Linked DNA regions of Alligator mississippiensis. The protein of the gene in region 2 binds, or shares a complex with, the protein of the main gene of each other region. Links are inferred from orthologs where the notes say so. Each region holds a gene or a part of one and is shown on either strand. Other genes may lie near its edges.

Evidence for each region.
Region 1: BAZ1A (region 2) and CHRAC1 share a complex: the UniProt entries of both Homo sapiens proteins name them as parts of the CHRAC ISWI chromatin remodeling complex. The link is inferred for Alligator mississippiensis from reciprocal best matches to the Homo sapiens genes BAZ1A and CHRAC1.

The regions. Positions count from the first base shown.
Region 1 is NC_081826.1:7,831,945-7,840,468, forward strand, and holds CHRAC1 (chromatin accessibility complex protein 1), read right to left. Parts: upstream 3,941-8,524; 5' UTR 3,909-3,940; coding exon 3,774-3,908; intron 3,648-3,773; coding exon 3,521-3,647; intron 2,138-3,520; coding exon 2,007-2,137; 3' UTR 1,087-2,006; downstream 1-1,086. UniProt on the Homo sapiens protein: Forms a complex with DNA polymerase epsilon subunit POLE3 and binds naked DNA, which is then incorporated into chromatin, aided by the nucleosome remodeling activity of ISWI/SNF2H and ACF1.
Region 2 is NC_081825.1:256,448,546-256,456,793, forward strand, and holds the start of BAZ1A (bromodomain adjacent to zinc finger domain protein 1A), read right to left. Parts: upstream 3,768-8,248; 5' UTR 3,677-3,767; intron 3,667-3,676; exon of another isoform or gene 3,415-3,666; intron 3,223-3,414; exon of another isoform or gene 3,072-3,222; 5' UTR 3,065-3,071; coding exon 2,952-3,064; intron 1-2,951. UniProt on the Homo sapiens protein: Regulatory subunit of the ATP-dependent ACF-1 and ACF-5 ISWI chromatin remodeling complexes, which form ordered nucleosome arrays on chromatin and slide edge- and center-positioned histone octamers away from their original location on the DNA template to facilitate access to DNA during DNA-templated processes such as DNA replication, transcription, and repair.

The DNA.
Region 1 (8,524 bases), on a different chromosome or scaffold from region 2:
CCGCCTGTAGAGCCTATAGTCCCTAATGATAACTGCCCAGTCGTGGGATGAATCCCACCACTATATTTCCTTACTTCTAAACTGCTATACAAAACCACTTTGTGGGGCCCCCTCCCCTGCAAGCAGCACTGCCTGGGCTGCACCAGCCAAGCTCAGCACCACTCACAGGGGATGGGGTTGCACCAGTTATGCCAAGCCTGGCCGTGTCTGCTGAGTGGCACTGCCGAGCGTTGAGCCCAGCAACACAGAGGATGGGGCTGGGCTCCATGCTTGGCTGCTGTGGCCTAGGTAGTACCACTTGCAGGGGATGGGGCTGCACCAGCTGAGCAGCACTCCCAGTCCTGTCTTCTGCAAATGGTGCTGGGCGTAGTGCTTGGCAGCACTGCTCGCAGCAGACGGGGCCAGGCTTGGCGCTCAGCTGGTGCAGCCCCATCCCCTGCAAGTGGTACCAGGCCCAGGCAGCGCCACTGGCAGAGGATGGAGTTGTGCCAGCCAAGCGCCAAGCCCAGCCTTGTTATCCCCTGCAAGCGGAGCTGCAGCACATGTTCACCCCTCAGGTGCCCGGCTGCAGTGAGGGCATGCAAGGGGCAGTATAAGTTAACCCCGTATTTCGGATCCAAAAAGTTAGGAATTTCATAGTTCTGGTGTATACGTCTTCTTAACTTTTTAGATCAGAAAAACGGGGACTTATACACCACATCGACCTATACACTGTGAAATATGGTAACTTAATTTACTACTTCTCCAGTAAGCGTCTTAGCCAGAAAGAGGGCAGATGAGACTGAAACATTTCTTTACAGGGGCATGGCCAGGGTTTATCCAGGCACGTTTCCCCTGAAACACACTGAAGCTGACCCACAACAAAGAATGTAAACTATTTGGAAGATCAGTGTGAATTCCTAGTGTCCCTTCTCCCCCCTCCCACTCAATCATTACTTTGTACTCATGGCTAGTCTTTTTTTTTTCTCCAACAGGATCCACATTCATTAAGTTTGCCCATCAGCAAGTTTGGGACAATTATGTTAATTGTGCACCAAAGATAAACTGGAAAGCCTACAGATGAGAAAGCTGTCAGGACCCTCTACATTAAATTCCACATTTTATAAAACATTTATTTAAAAAATTGTGTACAAAATTTTCTACACAGGGCTGTTTCCAATTTCATTGTAACAAAAATATTCCAGCTCTACCACTGACATGGTAAAAGGACTACTTATTTTCTTCCCATACAACCACCTCTAAACTTCACACAATATGCGTGTTGGTTAAATACCATAAACAGTATGCTGCAAAAGTAGAGACCTTGCTGAGGAAAACACAGGTTCTAGATGCACATATTTACACCACCTGCTAACACTTGTACTTCTTCATCACCACTACAGCCACAGACCTACACCACTAATTTGAACTAGTCTAGCCCTGTATCCAGTTTCCTTCTAGAGGAAGGAAGAGATTTGGACAGCACTGCAGAAGTCATGTTGGTTTTTAAGGGCTTGATCCATGGGTAGGTTCTAGACCCATATAGGAGAACTGGGATAGAGATCTGAACCAGTTATCTGCTTCTTGGCTGGCAGAAGGCAAATACTATTGATAGAGTATATACAGCCTCTTCAAGTTGATTACCAACAGCATCAGCTGTAAGAGGGGATCCATTTAACCACCTAGAGAGAACGCGAGAGACCTTTGGCCTGGATGATGAGGGCTGCCCACAAGAAATGTGGTAATGATTGTCTAAGTTACTTTAAAAAGAATGAGCTAGTTCTGTCTCCAGATCTGTAGGAACTCTTCCCCTCGTGTGTGTGTGTGTTTGTGTGTGTGTGTATCTGGGGGATAATTCTGTCCTTCAGGCTGTGTGTGTGTCATTGGATAAAGCTTCTTAAAACAAAAATAGAAAACAGGTGACTTCACATACAAATAAATCCAGCAGTTGGATTCTCAGTCACAAAAAAATAACATCTTTTATACAACAGGAAAAAGACCGAATATGAAGACAGTCTGATAAACCCTTAAGATTCGGCGTCTTCTTCACTCTCATCTTCCTCTTCTTCCTTCTCCTCCTCCTTCACCTCTCCATCTCTCTTCTCCTTTTCAAGCATTTTCAGGTATTTGCTAGCTAGGATCTTCTTTGGCAAGATATCTGAAAGGCAGAATTGCTGATTTTGTGCTCATTTAGAACAGTTATATTTAGGACAGTTATTACTGTGGCATTTAAAGTCACTAATTACTAGCTGCACAGTTCACAGAATGCAACTTTTTAGTCTAGGGAACAACAAGATGAGTTATTTCAATCTATAATAATCATACTTGGAAGAGGAACAATGGCTAACGTAATAGTAGAGAGTTTTCATCCAATTAAGGCTCGAACGCTAGAATTTGTCTTCTTTTGAGAGAGATTCTTAATTATAGAGGTTTAAATTCTGAAACCTGTTATGCTGTTTTTAGCCGGTTGCAGTTGGTGTGGACGCTGCCACTGCCACGGTCAGCAGTTACTTGCACCGTAGAACAACACTGGATATGAGGTTTACCTGCTCTAGGTATATCCCTTGCAAGCAATTCCTCTATGCTCCATTTAGGGATCTGTCCAGGACACCATTATAGATCAGGGGTGCCAAACATGCAGCCCGTGGAGCTATTTCATGTAGCCTTGCTGGTAGCCCGGCGGACTCCTGGAAGTTGGGGCGTATGGCCCGCCACACAATTTGGGGTCCGTGGACCCCAATGGACATGGCCATCAGCAGCAGCCCCCCAGCTCTGTGCTGCTGCCTGAATGCAGCCCATCACCACCACCACCCAGCCCTGGACTCACGTTGCTGCCTGGATGTGACCCTACCACACTGGCTGCTGGCCCCACAGATCTGGCCTGGGGGGAGACCCTGCAGTTCAGATCTGGCCCGGGGTAAGTTTGACACTGCTCTTACAGCTGATGACCTCGAGAGATGGGAAAGTGGACTGCTTGCTAAGGCAACACTGCTAAAAAGGTGCCTAGAATGAGACCACCATCCTAGCACGTTCTTATGAACAAGCAGGGCTAACCCCAAAGCGCCCAAGTCCGAGAGCAACACGTGAACGTTTGTGGTCCTGTTCCCACCTCAGACGCGTTTGTGCATCGAACGCTCATCCATTCATAGCTCTGAGCTGGTACGTTTCCTAAAAGCCTCCCCCACCGCCTGCCTTGCTCTTCTCTAAGCGGATTTACAGGTGTGTGGCCTGGTGGGTAAAGCAGACGATGCGAGCATCAGCGCTTCTGGGCTTTACACCCAGATCTTACACTGCCGTAACTGGGGCTGCTTCACCTCCCGTCGCTCGGCCTCCTCATTCGGACAGCCGTGACGCGACCGTTGTGACAAGGCATCAAGGCGCTCGACGGCGCCGACTGTCCCCAGACGCCGGCCCAGCGCGTCCCGCGACTTCGTACTGCGGCGCAGACGGCCCCCGTCGCGCGATGTGTGCCGACGCCACGGGGCAGCACCGTGCGCGAGACCGTGGCTTTGCCCCCCAGCCCGCCCGCGGCGACACGCACCTGCGAGGAACTGAAAGGTTTCGCACTCCTCGGCCGTGTGCGACAGGTCACTGTAGGTCAGGGCTCTCTTCTCCTTGCCTCGCCCGTGCTTGTACGAGTACGAGGCCAAGTACTGGACAAACAGCTCCTGCAAACCACCGGAAGAGAGACGTCAAGAGCCGCCTTCCCGCGCCGGCCCCGCTTCACGCCGCAGCGGACGCTTGCCTCCCCCCACACCCCCGCATGTCCCCCCCGGGCGGGCCGAGGGCGGTACCGTGGCGCGGGCGGTGAGGAAGAGCGCGTCCTGGTTGATGCTGGACACCTCGGGGGAGCTCTTCATGATGACGCGGATGCGGGACAGGGGCAGCGACACCAGCCGGTTCTCGCCGCCGCTCGGCCGCGCCGCCATCCTGCCCCGCGCCGCGGGGGCCGCCGGGAGCTGTAGTGCTGCGCCGTCGCGGGCGGGAGGGAGAACTACGAGTCCCAGCATGCACCGCTCGCCTCACCACCACCTCCTCCTCCTCCCCCCGCGCGGCGGGAGAAGGCCTACACGTCCCAAGATGCACCGGGGCGCTCAGGAACTCACCCCTCCCCCCCCCCCCCGGCCTCCGGCGCGCGGAGGGGTTTGAGCCCAGTCGGGGTCAGACATGCGCGTCCCGGATGAGCATCGAGAGCGGAGCAGGGCGGCATTGAGACACGTGTGTGCCCTGGGGCCATTCTTCGGTGTTCCCCCCCTCCCCTCGCAACACACCGTGTCTCACCTGCTACACAGTCCAATGAAACCTGGGTCCAAACCAGCTGTGGAGTTGTTACGTGTTTTCAAGCACTAACTTTATGTAGCTGCTCGGCTCGCTTTCCAGCTTGGTAGTCATTTTTGTCCTGTGATCGTGACTTCGTGTGTGTGGCTGGTCTGCATTGATCGCAGGTAGCCGCGCGATCCTTACTCGGCGCTCCTGGCCCGTGTGACTTTGCAGGGGCCTGTGCTTCAAGCTATTGCAAAAATGTCTTGCCTCATTACACAAAAGGCTTCACGGCTAAGAACTGTAAACTGCAAATTGTTTCTTCTCTCCCCCACCACTGCGGGGCCAGGAAGGGTGGGGGGCCTGTTAGGGGGAGAGCACAGTCTGAACAATGCTTGGTTCACGATAAGGCTGATTCCTGTGGGAACACAGATTAGTTACTGCCTGCTTTGCACGTAAACTTTGTAGAAAACTGTAGCAAATCACAGATTGCCACAATGGGATCTTGTTCATGAGAGGTATCAAAATGTATCTTCGGGCGTGGCTAGGGTTCGACTCGGATTTGGGCTTTGAGCTCCCTTGTTGATCTGTTTGCAAACAAATAAACTTGAGATGGATCCAGCCTGAGTGTGTATGACTCTCCCTTGAGGTATATTGGAAAAGCCTCCAGGGACACGAAACTAGCCATTTGTGCAACAAAGCTAAACTGTTTCTGGGCTTAGACGGCCTGTAGGAGGGATGTGGTCACGCACCCAGCACGAAGCGATGCAGGGGTCTCGGGTCTCCAACACGGTTCTGAGCCCGCTGAAATCAAGTGGGGTTTTGCCGTTTATTTTACTAAAGCCAGGATTTCATCCATAATCTCCAAGCACCGATAAACATGCATGGTGATGTGCTGCCAGAAAATTACGGTCCATGATCGTTGGTTGGAGCAGTCTGACACTGCATGATAAATTAATGATGATAAATACTTTGCATTTCTAGGGGTTTAGGTTGTAGCCGTGTTGGTCTAAGGACATAGGCAGACAAGGTTCCTTGGGTGAATCTGATATCTTTTATTAGACCAACCCAAATGGTTGGAGAATAGTTATTAAGCAAGCTTTCAGGTTCAAAAACCCTTCGTCAGACTAAGGAAGCTGCAGCAGTTGGTGTGTGCTCTTTCTGGATGGGATGAAAAGTGAAGAAGCCAGGGGCTGGGCTGGGCTGGGGAGTCAGTTGCCAGGCAGATTATAATGTATCAAAAATCCAGTGTCTGTTTAGTCCATGATCTCTAGCATCCAGCAGGTTGATGAAATGGAGCTCATAGGCTCATCTCTGGGAAGTGGTGTGTAAATTTCCCTTGAGGATCAGGACTGAGAGAGTGGCCCTCCTGTGAGAAATGTGCCCCCACCGGTAATTGGGTGTTTCTGTCTTTGATGGATTTCCGGTGTGCGTTCATTCTGGTGTGCAGTTGTTGTCTGGTCTCTCCTACATATCTTCCATCAGGGCATTTGGTACATTGGATGAGGTATACTACATTTCTGGAGGTGCAGCTGTAAGATCCTGGGATGCTGATGGCTCTGTTGTGGGGTGTAGTAATAGTGGGGGTGGTGGAGATGTGTTGGCAGGTTTTGCATTTCTTGTCCTGGCACGGTCTGGATCCTTTTGGTGTGTTCTGGGCTTGAGGAAGTTTGCTTCTGGTGATGAGGTTGGCGAGGTTTGGTGCTTGTTTGAAGGCTAGGATGGGTGGCTCTGGGAAGATCTTTTTAAGAATAGGGTCTCTTTCTAATATGGGTTGCAATTTTTTGAGGATTTTCCATACAGGTTCAAGGGATGGATGATATGTCATAACCAGCGGTGTGCAATTTGTGGGTGTTTTTCTTCTGTACTGCAGCAGTTCTTCACGTGGTATCCAGGTGGCTCTTTCAAACGTGCGGTTTACCTCTCTGGAGGAGTGTCCATTTCTAGAGCATTTCTAGAGCACCTTTATTCTGAGGCTGGGCGGACAGGTGGCTTCATCACCTGTGTGACATAGGTAAGAGATCCATAGTGATATCTTCATCCACCACATCTCATCTGCAGGATACAAACATGCTACACCTCAGTTTTAGGTAGGAATGGAAGTGTAAGATCATACTAAATAGAAAATGCAGGGGATCAGGTACAATGTAATTAACTGCCTTGAGCTACAATCAATAAACTAGGGCTAAACTCTGAGAATGAATGAATCCAAGCACCTACCTAATGTGAGTGAGCATCTCTGCCACAACTCTAGGCTGCAATGCCATGCCAGGTGACTATCTGAGTCATTAGTATAGCTCCAGCAACATTGTAGTCTCCTATACAATGGAATAGGAAGTCTCCTATACAATTAGTAACCACGCACAACCAGTCCCATGAGACTAACTTTTCTAGGGCAGAGGTTCCCCAGTCTTTTTTTTATTTTATACCCCTTTCCAGATTTACCAGCGGCCCACGTAACCTTACCACATACATTTTATATTTTAACCCCTTAAATGTCAATTATTAAAATAAAAATTAAATCTGCCATTATACAATTTCTCCTGAGTACTCCCCAGAGATGTCTTGCCAGAGTTACACGTACTACAGTTTAGGAACCTGTTTCATAGTTCCAGGTGGTGCCTGGGGGGAACAGAGGCTCACCTATTTTCCACTGGTCCCCCCTGGTGAGTTTATAGACAGACACCAGATCCCCTCTCAGTCTTCTCTTGTAGAGGCTGAATACATTCAGGCCCTTTAGTCTATCTTCATAGGTCAGGCCCTTTAGTCTATCTTCATAGGTCCTGGCCTGCTACCCCCTGACCATGTAAGTGGTCCTCCTCTGGACCCTCTCAATGCTGGCCACATCCCTCTTGAAGTGCGGTGCCCAGAACTGGACACAGTACTCTAACTGCGGCCTGACCAGCGCCGCATAGAGGGGAAGGATCACCTCCCTGGACCTGCTTGTGATGCACCTACTTATGTAATCATACTTGGAAGAGGAACAATGGTGCAGTTTTCATTGGTGCAGTTAGCTTTACTGACCACTTCCTCGCATTGGCGGCTCATGTCGATTCTGGAGTCAGCAATAACTCCAAGATCCCTTCCAGCCACTGTGTTGTTGAGAAGGGTGTTCCTCAGCCTATAGGTATGTTGCAGGTTCCTTCTCCCTAGATGCAGCACCTTGCGCTTGTCTGTGTTGAATTCCATTCTGTTCTCACCTGACCACCTTTGTAACCTGTCTAGATCTAGCTGGATTCTGTCCCTCCCCTCCAGCGTGCCCACTTCTCCCCACATCTTTGTGTCATCCGTGAATTTGGACAGCGTGCTTTCCACACCCACCTCCAAGTCGCTGATAAAGATGTTGAATAGATATCTGTTCTATAATAAGGACGTGGTGTTTGTTTTGTGTAAAACATTTGGTGTGAACAATCATTCACCATGATGCTATGTGCATTGTTTTTACTGTTTAACTCTCTGTATGGTTCCTTGAGCCTTACCTTGTCATGACATCTTGTGGCAGCAGTTGGCATTACTGTCACAGTAACCTAAAGACGAATGCAGTGTATTCTTAGCCTTGTCCAAGGCTATCCCAGCCATGCAGTTAGTCCAATAAAGGACAACGCTGAGCTACAACATCACTCCAACACTATCAGAGTAAAATAATGAATAGTGTAAATTAAGAAGAATTATCTTGGATATTTCACAGGGTTAACTGTACCACAAAGAGTCAAGGGTAAAAACAGAAGTTAAAGTTTGACAGCGAGCTCATATGTCTGTAGGATCCCGGAATAAAAGGCGTTGTCTAGGAGAAATCTGACATCTGTTCTTAGCCTAAGGACTAGTATGACAAGCCTTGAAGATGACAGGGGTGAGTTAGTTTCAGAGCTGTTAGTATTGCAGGACTGAGGATAGGTAAGGTACTTACTGTGCTGTTAGAGGGCCTGAAACTGAGCAGTTCCTCCTATTTTCAAGGCTTGTCATAGCAGCTCCCAAACAAAATTGGAAGCCCTGAAAAAGGAGAAGCTAATCAGTTCCAGGGCTGCTAATATCACAGCACCAACACACTGTACTTAATGAGGATTGCTTATCTTAAGGTCAGGTAAGCACTACGTGGGCTAAGCACATAGCTTGTCTTCAGTCTCTAGGCCAGTAATTCTCAACCAGGATAGCTTGTTCCAGCCTGGTCAGTCTGCCACCTGCACTTCTCAGCCTCTCTGGTAGTATAAATTAGCTTTTAAACTGAGTGCTGCTCAGTTCACAAAAGTTATGGAGAGGTGTGTCAAGTCCAAAAAGTTTGAGAACC
Region 2 (8,248 bases):
CATGATCATTTTCATTGTACATCTATTATTTTTCTTTTTGGGACAGGATTTTAAAATAATATTTCCATTCCACTTCTCATGCATTCCAATATGTTAGTTTTTTCAGCTGTCACTAAAAACTGAGAAAGTTTTCACTGAGCTGTCCACAATGATACCTAGATCTTTTTCCTGAACTGTTACAACTGAGCAAAGCAAAACATGGATAGTTTAAACTGTTCCTTCCACCATGCAATATTTTGCAATTATCAATCCTGATTTTATTCTGCCATCCTTTGTTCCTCTAACTGCATTCCCCACTGACCCACCAGTCTTGATAAATCTAAATAACTGTCATCTGCAAGTTTTGCCATCTCACTGCAAAACCCTAGTATTACAAAATTATGAGGTTATTTCCCTTTAAGGTGAAATAAGTTCTCAACAGGAAATTCTCTTTCCCAAACATTAGCCCTACTGAGTCTTATATGCACCGGATACTGGCATAATGACTCTTCATTAAAAAAAAAAAAGAATACTAAAGTGAGAAGTATCTTATCTCCCCTACTGCTGCTAGTCATGTAAAAGTAACTTTGCTACTAGATCATTTCCAATTTTGTAATTTATGCAAATATGCAACAATACCCAACTAAGTCTTAGGCATATGTGGTAATTTGAAGCATATGAAAACACAACTGTGGGGGGGTGTTCACTGCACATACATGCAACTTACTAGTCAAATCAAGCCTACTCGATTTATTTACATGCCTAAAATTTACTTAAATTCAACAGAATACAAGTTTGCATTAAAAAAGCTCTCATATTTATGACTGCAAAACTAACCTTTCAGATACAGAGTGTGAACTGATGCAGAATTGCCTCCCCAGTTTTTGAGAACCTTAGATAATGGTTAGTTTCAGAAAACAGCTAGTGCAATTGTAGACAGCATGAACACTCTGTCTGCATAAATCTAATTAGTGTTGCATGGATAAGAAAAGGAGGTGTTTTTCCCCCCCAAAAAATGTTAGTTATTTCAAATACCACTTCATATTTGGTGGAAACTGTTTGACACCTTAAACTAGATGCTAGATGGTGAGTGATCATAGGCTACACAGTACTCCCCCTTATCCTGGGATGGCCACAGCTTGACATCAGTACATGAACTGAAGTTTAACCATGTCAAGACATAAGTTAACCTGTTTTAAAACAACCAAAAAAACCCCAATGCATGATCTATTTCCCCTGCCTAGACAAAGGCATAAGGAAGCAGGAAAGAAATGGACAGGACGATAGGGAAGAGCAGAAAAGAAGAGTGTTTTTCCATTAAGAAAAACCTAATGAGAACTATTAAATGAGAGTGTAGCAACTACAGAAATCCCATATTCTAAGGGCATTTAAACCCAAAAGCTTACAAAGAAGAATTTTTTCAACTGTTTGGGTTGGCCTAATAAAAGATAATCCAATTTACCCAAAGAACCTTGTCCACTTATATTCAACCCTTGGTCTCTGTGCACCATCCATTGACATTTTATGGCTCTGTGTGTTGTGAATGGAAAGCATTTATGAGATAAGTTTACCCTTAACCTGGAGCTCCAGCCCAAATGGAACTTGCTGCTTTACAAAGAGTTAGTGATATCCCCACAATATCTTTTCAGGGCACCCAGGACAGACAGGCTCAATCTTGGATCCAGTAAGCATCTTTCCAAAAAACCTACAACTTGATTTTCAGCCCCTACCAGCACTCATTTAGTATGAACCATAAAATGGCACCGTGACAAATGTAATTTCAAAGTATCATCAGTTAGGAAATTTTTAAATTTCTGCAGAGATATGAACTCTTTGTTTCCAATGTTTTATGTCCTCATAACCTGCCTAGAAACCCAGCGCAATAAAACTTTTTAAGAAACTTTATTTTGCATTTTCACTCCCCCTTGGTCCATTATTTTGCCCCGACAGCAACCACATGACTGCCCTTTGCTGTTACCTAATCTGAGTTTATTTGGTGATGTCTATTTGAGTAAGAAAAACAAGTCTAAGCATGAGGAAATTTAGGCGTGCTCTGGTTTCACAGGCTGCAAAGGATCCCAGAAGGAATCTGGTTAGGCTGTGCTTCTTAAAAAAAATTAAAAATAAATAAAGAAACGAGAGGATTTGAGCTTCCGAAATATTTTGTGGGATGCAGAGGGGGTCATGAAATGTCCGTGTCTTACACCCTGCTGGAAAGGTACAAGGGAGACACTCGGTCAGCTTGGGAGCAATCCCGGGAACACTTTGGACCTGTTCGGCTCACAAGGAATGAAAACCAGTGGGAGGTTTTTTGTTTGTTTTTCCCCGTCTCTCTTTTTTATTCTTGCTGCAAAAGCCCACAGGCCCCGTGTGTCACGCCGCGGGGGTGTGAGGGACCCGCGCAGACCCGGCAGGAAGGGCCCGAGCGGCGGCCGGGGCAGGGGAAGCGCCGGTCCCGTTCGGCGACCCCCGGGGCGGGGGCAGGCGAGCGTTGGCCGCTGCCGGCCAGGGCGCGGGGCGGGGCGGAGCCGGGCCCGCCGGGAGGGCGGCACCAAGGGGCAGCGCGTCCCGCCGGGCCGGAGTGTGAGGCGGCTCCGCGCCCCCAACAATAGCGCGGGCGGCAGATGTCAGCCCGCACGCGGCCGCCGCCTCGGCCCGGCCCGGCGACAGTTTGCGTCCCGCGGGGAGCGGCCCGGCTGCACGCCCCGGGCCTGGCCTAGCAGCGGCCGCAGACACGCGGCTCAGGGGGGACAAATCCCGCCCGCGGCCCCGCTAAACTTTCACTTCCCCCCGCCGGGCCCCGCCCGCGCCATCGGGAGGGGCGCGGGTGCCTCCTGCCGGGCTGGGCCGGGGAATCCCCTCCCCTCTCCTCTCCGCTCCTCCCCTCCCCCCGCCAGGTGTCAGCCGTTCGGGCGGCTCAACCGCCGAGGGCCGGGGGGGGGCCCGGGGGCACGCGGCCGCGCCGCCCTTACTCGTAGTCCCTGAAGATCTCGTTGGTGACCCTGCAGTAGAAGACGCGCTCGTCCGGCCGCAGGTCGGCGGGGGGCTGCTCCCTCACGAAGGGCTTGCGGTGCAGCAGCGGCATCGCCCCGCTTCCGAGTGGAGGGAAAAGAGAGGGGGAACCGTGAGCACGGCGGCGGCGGCCCGGAGCGGAGCGGAGCCCGCTGCCTTTTGTGTGCCCGACGCGCCGCCGCCGCCGCCTGCCTGGGACTGACGGCGCGAGCGGGGAGCTGCGGAGCCTTCCTCCTTCCCCGCCCCCCCCCGGCGGCGGCCGCCGCCGCCTCACAATGGGGCAGTGACGCCGCCGAGCAGCAGGCGGAGGCGGCGCTCCTGCCCCCCCGCGGCCCGCGCCACACAACGTGCTGGGCCCGGGGATCCCCCGCCCCCGCCCGCCGCTTTGTCTGCCCCGGGGTCGCGCCGGCCGCCGTCTCTGACCTGCGCGCGCCGGGCTGGACACCAAGTTGCCCGCGCGCCCCCCCCGCACAGCCCGGCGGCGGGGGCAGGGAGCGCCGCTCGTCGCTTCCTCCTTCCTCGCGCGGAGGAGCCCCTCCGCCCGCCTTTCTCCTCCTGCCCAGGCAGCGCTGCCTGCGGGCTCTGCCGCCGGGCTGCCCCCTCCTCCCCCCGGCGCGGAGCGAGGCGTCCCCTGCCCCCCGCCGGGCTGTGGCCGGGGTCGGCTCTCTGCCTGCCGCCCGCCTACCTGCGGGGGGAGAGGGTGGCTGTGGTGCGGAGGGCTGCCTAGCTCCTGCTCTTCCCTTCAGCTCCTGGGAAGTTTTTTGATCTACTTCTTCAGCCCTCGATCAGGAAGAGCTGCTGGGAGGAGCTTTCCACTTCTCTCCTCTACATCTTTATTGGCCACTCGGTGCCTTCCAGCGTGTGTCACACAGGAAGACAGAGAGCTACATTATTAATTAATGGCTGAGAGGACTCATCCTCCATTTTTGAATGATCGGCCCCGAGATCCGCCGCGCGCCAGGGGCCGGGTGGTGGCGGGGGCAGCCCGGCCGCCGGACCCCCACCCCGCGCCTGGGGCTCCCAGCTGACAACCTCCTCGGACACTAGAGACGAGAAAGCTGCCGAGAGCCGGGGCGGCGTGTGGTCGGGGAGGGGAATAAAGACTTTTCAAACGCTCTTTTCTTTCCGTCTCTCTCTCCCCTTCCAAAACACTCCTGCCACTGCCAAAAACACTTCGCTCTGCAGAAGAACCTAGAGCACTTCAGAGACCCCCCCTCTTCATCCTGGACAAAAAAAGCTACTGTCCATAGTACTTGTCCATACAGCCAGGAGAGAAATATCAACATTTAATAGAGTCTTCCAGTCTAACTAGCAACAAAGGCTTTGGTGTTGGATAATAGAAGTACAGAGAAACCTGTCTCCTAATATTTAAGTGCAAAGGGATATGTTGTCATCTGAGTTCAGGAACAAGAAGGGTACGCTGTGCCAGTTACAAGTCTCAAGTATAACACTTATTCTCCTTAGATGTGTGGGCCCCAGAGCAGTGTCTCCTGCTCTCATGTCACCTGAGATATGCTCATATTACTCTATGAAAGCACATGCTGCTATTGCTTGTAATGTTCGATTTTTATTTCACTTGGCATATTTTAAAGATTACTGTATTGGTTGATAGGGTTCTCAGGTGCGCAGGAGGCTTTACAGAGCCACAAAAGAAGATAAACTCCATATCCTAAGAAACATCAAATCTAAAGTCTCAGGCAAAAAGTTGTGAGTAACCACAAACTCACTGGGACTAAGAATTTGAAGAGCTGGTGCTTAAATAGAACGTTACCATCCACACCCCTGATCCTGGAAATACGTGGGCTTGTGTTTTGTCCTGCACCTGTGCAGACTTCCACTGACCACCCAGGCCAGGCGCATGCATGGGTTAAGCTTGGAAAGTCAAGCTCTCCTGATGAGAGGAAAAGGAGCTGTGAAAACATTACCTTGTATGTAGGTAGCTCTCCCTCCTGTTCATGTTACCCTCCCACTACAGATAATTTAACAGCCCATTTGCACAAATTTGGAGAGATGAAGAAAGATCAATACATTCAAATCACATCTATTAAATGAAGTGGAAAAGAAAAAAAAGAGCATACAATGGGCCCAGGCAGACCATGTGTGGATGAAAAAGAAAGTGCAAGACGAGCCTGCATAGCAAACCCATTCACAAGTGATGTGACTTCATCTTAGGAGCAGTAAATTCATCAGGCAATTTTCTAACACTTTCAAACATCACAGGTTAGCTTTTGTTTGTAGACAACCCCTCCCAGAGTCAGCCAATTAATCTGCCAACCGCCTCCTTTCATCATGTCTATCTTTCTGATTTATCAGTGGGGTCAGAGTGCCCAGGAGTCACCTCCCACCTTAGATTCTGGTGTAAGGTCACATTCGATCTTTGTTCTGCACAGAAGCTCCAGGAATCGAGAGCCTGAAGGCCCTTGGCACCACTTTCTTTTCTATGATCTTGGTACTATCAAGGGGGCCTGCTATTCACCACACCAGCTATTGGGCTTATGCAGAAGTCCTGAATGTTCTTGCACTAAGGTGAGAGTCAAGGGTCCGTTCAGACCTCCAGAATCCCAGGAGCATATATGTCTATAGACCAGACTGTACCAGAGAGGGGCCACCAGCAAGGCTGCTCCAAAGTCAAGGATCTCAAGTGTGACTACAAGCAGGCATGGGACACAAACCACCACTCAGGCACCAATTATGCCACAGCTCCATGCTATGAGTAGCTGGACAAAATGTTTTCAAAAGCTTCCCATATCAAAGTGGACAGAAACAGACCTCAGTTAGACCATGGTATGTGGAGCTAAGGGCTTCTACGGTCAAAGAGGTCTCTGACAGCCAGAACCTTTTCACCAGCCAGGAGGCTGAGCAGTCCAAACTAGATTCCAAGGTCTCCCAAACAACCACAAGCCAGCCTGCTGCTACACAGGCCACAACTCTCCGAGTCACTGCGATCAGGAAAAGATGCACAGATGGCATGACTGGAATGCATGTTTGCCTTTTGAATCAGTTCATGCCATTTTGTATTGCCCAGACTGCTTAAAAATATCTTGCACTGGAAGCAGCATGAACAAGCAACATGACCATCCCAGTGACAGCTACTCCATGGGGGACAGTAAGAACAGTGCCTTCTGGAAGCATTGCTGCTTTAACCCCTCTAACCAACAAGTTGGCCTGATGGCCCACCACTCCGGCCCCCAGGAATGTGGGGTCTTTCATTTGTGCCTCTGAGCTTAGCCTAACAAAGACTGAAATGCCCCCAAATTCATCAAGTTTCTAGTGGTTTTCTCATTAACTTGTACATAGGTAGCTCTCCCTCCTGTTCATGTTACCCTTCCACTACAGATAATTTAACAGCCCATTTGCATAGAAGACACAAATTTGAAGAGATGAAGAAAGATCAATACATGCAAATCACAGCTATTGAATGAAGAGGAAAAGGTAAAAGAGAGCCCATGGCATACAATGGCCACAGAGATACCATGTGTGGATGAAAAAGAAAGCACAAGAAGAGCCTACATAGCAAACCCATTCACAATGACGCCCAGGACAGAAAGAAGGCAATCAGTTTTCTTGTGTGCAATTCAGAGCTATCATGACAGTGTTTCATTGTGACACCTTAGCAATATTCATGGGGTTTCCTCAGAGTAGGTTGCCAGTGAGCTATCTTGTCACTAGAATGAGGTGTCTGTTTCGTTTGTCATAATTGCAGACAGGTGGTTACTCCAATCACTGGGCCAGTCTCTCTTTGCCTCCACCAACCCACCCCTTTGCAGGTCCTTTATGCAATTTCCCAGACTTCTGCAGTAACATAAGTGAATCTTTTGCAGTGGTTGACTTGGCTTAGCAGTAATATCTATGTAAAAGAACGCTCTTCCTATGAACTCCAAGTCCTGCAGGAGGACAGGGGAGGGCAAAGAATGTATGCTCTATCACTCCTAATTGGTGGTCTAAAATGGTTATTCTGCTTCCAGTAGCATAACTAGGGCGAGATGACCAAGGCAGCCACACAGGCAACCATTTGGAGGTAAGGGAGAAACCACTGTCACCACAGCCACACAATCATGCCAGTGGCACAGCAGGAACCACTGCTGTCCCCATGTGTTGCAGCTGCCCCAGACACCCAGCTGCATTGTAATGCCTCTTCTTCCATAGGTCTGTAGCAAGCTCTGTGCAGATTTCTAGGAACATATCATGCCATGGCACTGTGGTAGACATCTTTCATTGCACTGGGAGATGCATAACTCTATAAAACCCGAAAAGAATAAACCCTGGCTGCCAAGTCCCAGTCTACAAGCATTTTCTCATTCATGGTAGCTGAGCACAGACTACTCATTTGTCCACAGCTTCGCCTCTCATGGCTTATTCTTTCATGTGTTCATGGCCTGAGACTCCATGTAGATGTAGTGATCTACATTAGCGTAACCTGTAGGGATGATGCTTATGTTAAAGATTACAGCCTACATCTTGAATTATTCTCCTAAAATGTTGTTTAGTCCTTGATATTTTACAGCGATTAGCCTTATTCCACCCATTCAGTCAGTTTACAAAACATTTAGCTTGTTGAGCTCTGAACATCATTTCTTCCAAGTCCCCTCAAAACCCTACCAGTTTATATTCCATATTCACCAGTGAAGCCACTTTAGTTTTAAATAAATTTATAGTGAAGGGCAGAGATGTGACTGTAAATTAATCAGTTAAAAAGCACATTACAGTTTATATATATAGCCCCTTGGGGCTCAAAAGGAGTCTATCCCATTACATAGGAAGGGAGGTAAGGGGGCAAAAAAGCCCCCTTGGCTGAACAGGGAACTCCAGGAGAGTCTGGGGGCAAAGAAAGAGAATTAAAGGCAATGGAAACAGGGAGCAGCCACCAAGGAGAAATATATCTCCCTGGCGTGCTATTGCAGGGAATCAGTCAGACAGGCCAAGGTGGGGCTTGAGCTCAGGCTGGCTTCAACAATCAAGGACAATTAGAAGTCCTTCAGGTATATAGTGGGCAAAAGGAAAGCTCAGAGCAACATAGGGCCCCTGCAGGACAAATCAGGACAGCTGGTGGCTGACACAGGGGAAAAAAGCAGAGCTCTTCAATGAGTTCTTCACTTCGGTATTTCTAAGTACCGACTAAGCCAATTCCCCTACCTTGATCATTGACGGATGTCCACATGGCACCAGTCCACCTACAGTTAGTTCTGAAATAGTTAAGGAGTTCCTGGAGGAGCTGGATGGGTACAAGTCAGCAGGCCCGGATGACCTCCATCCACGG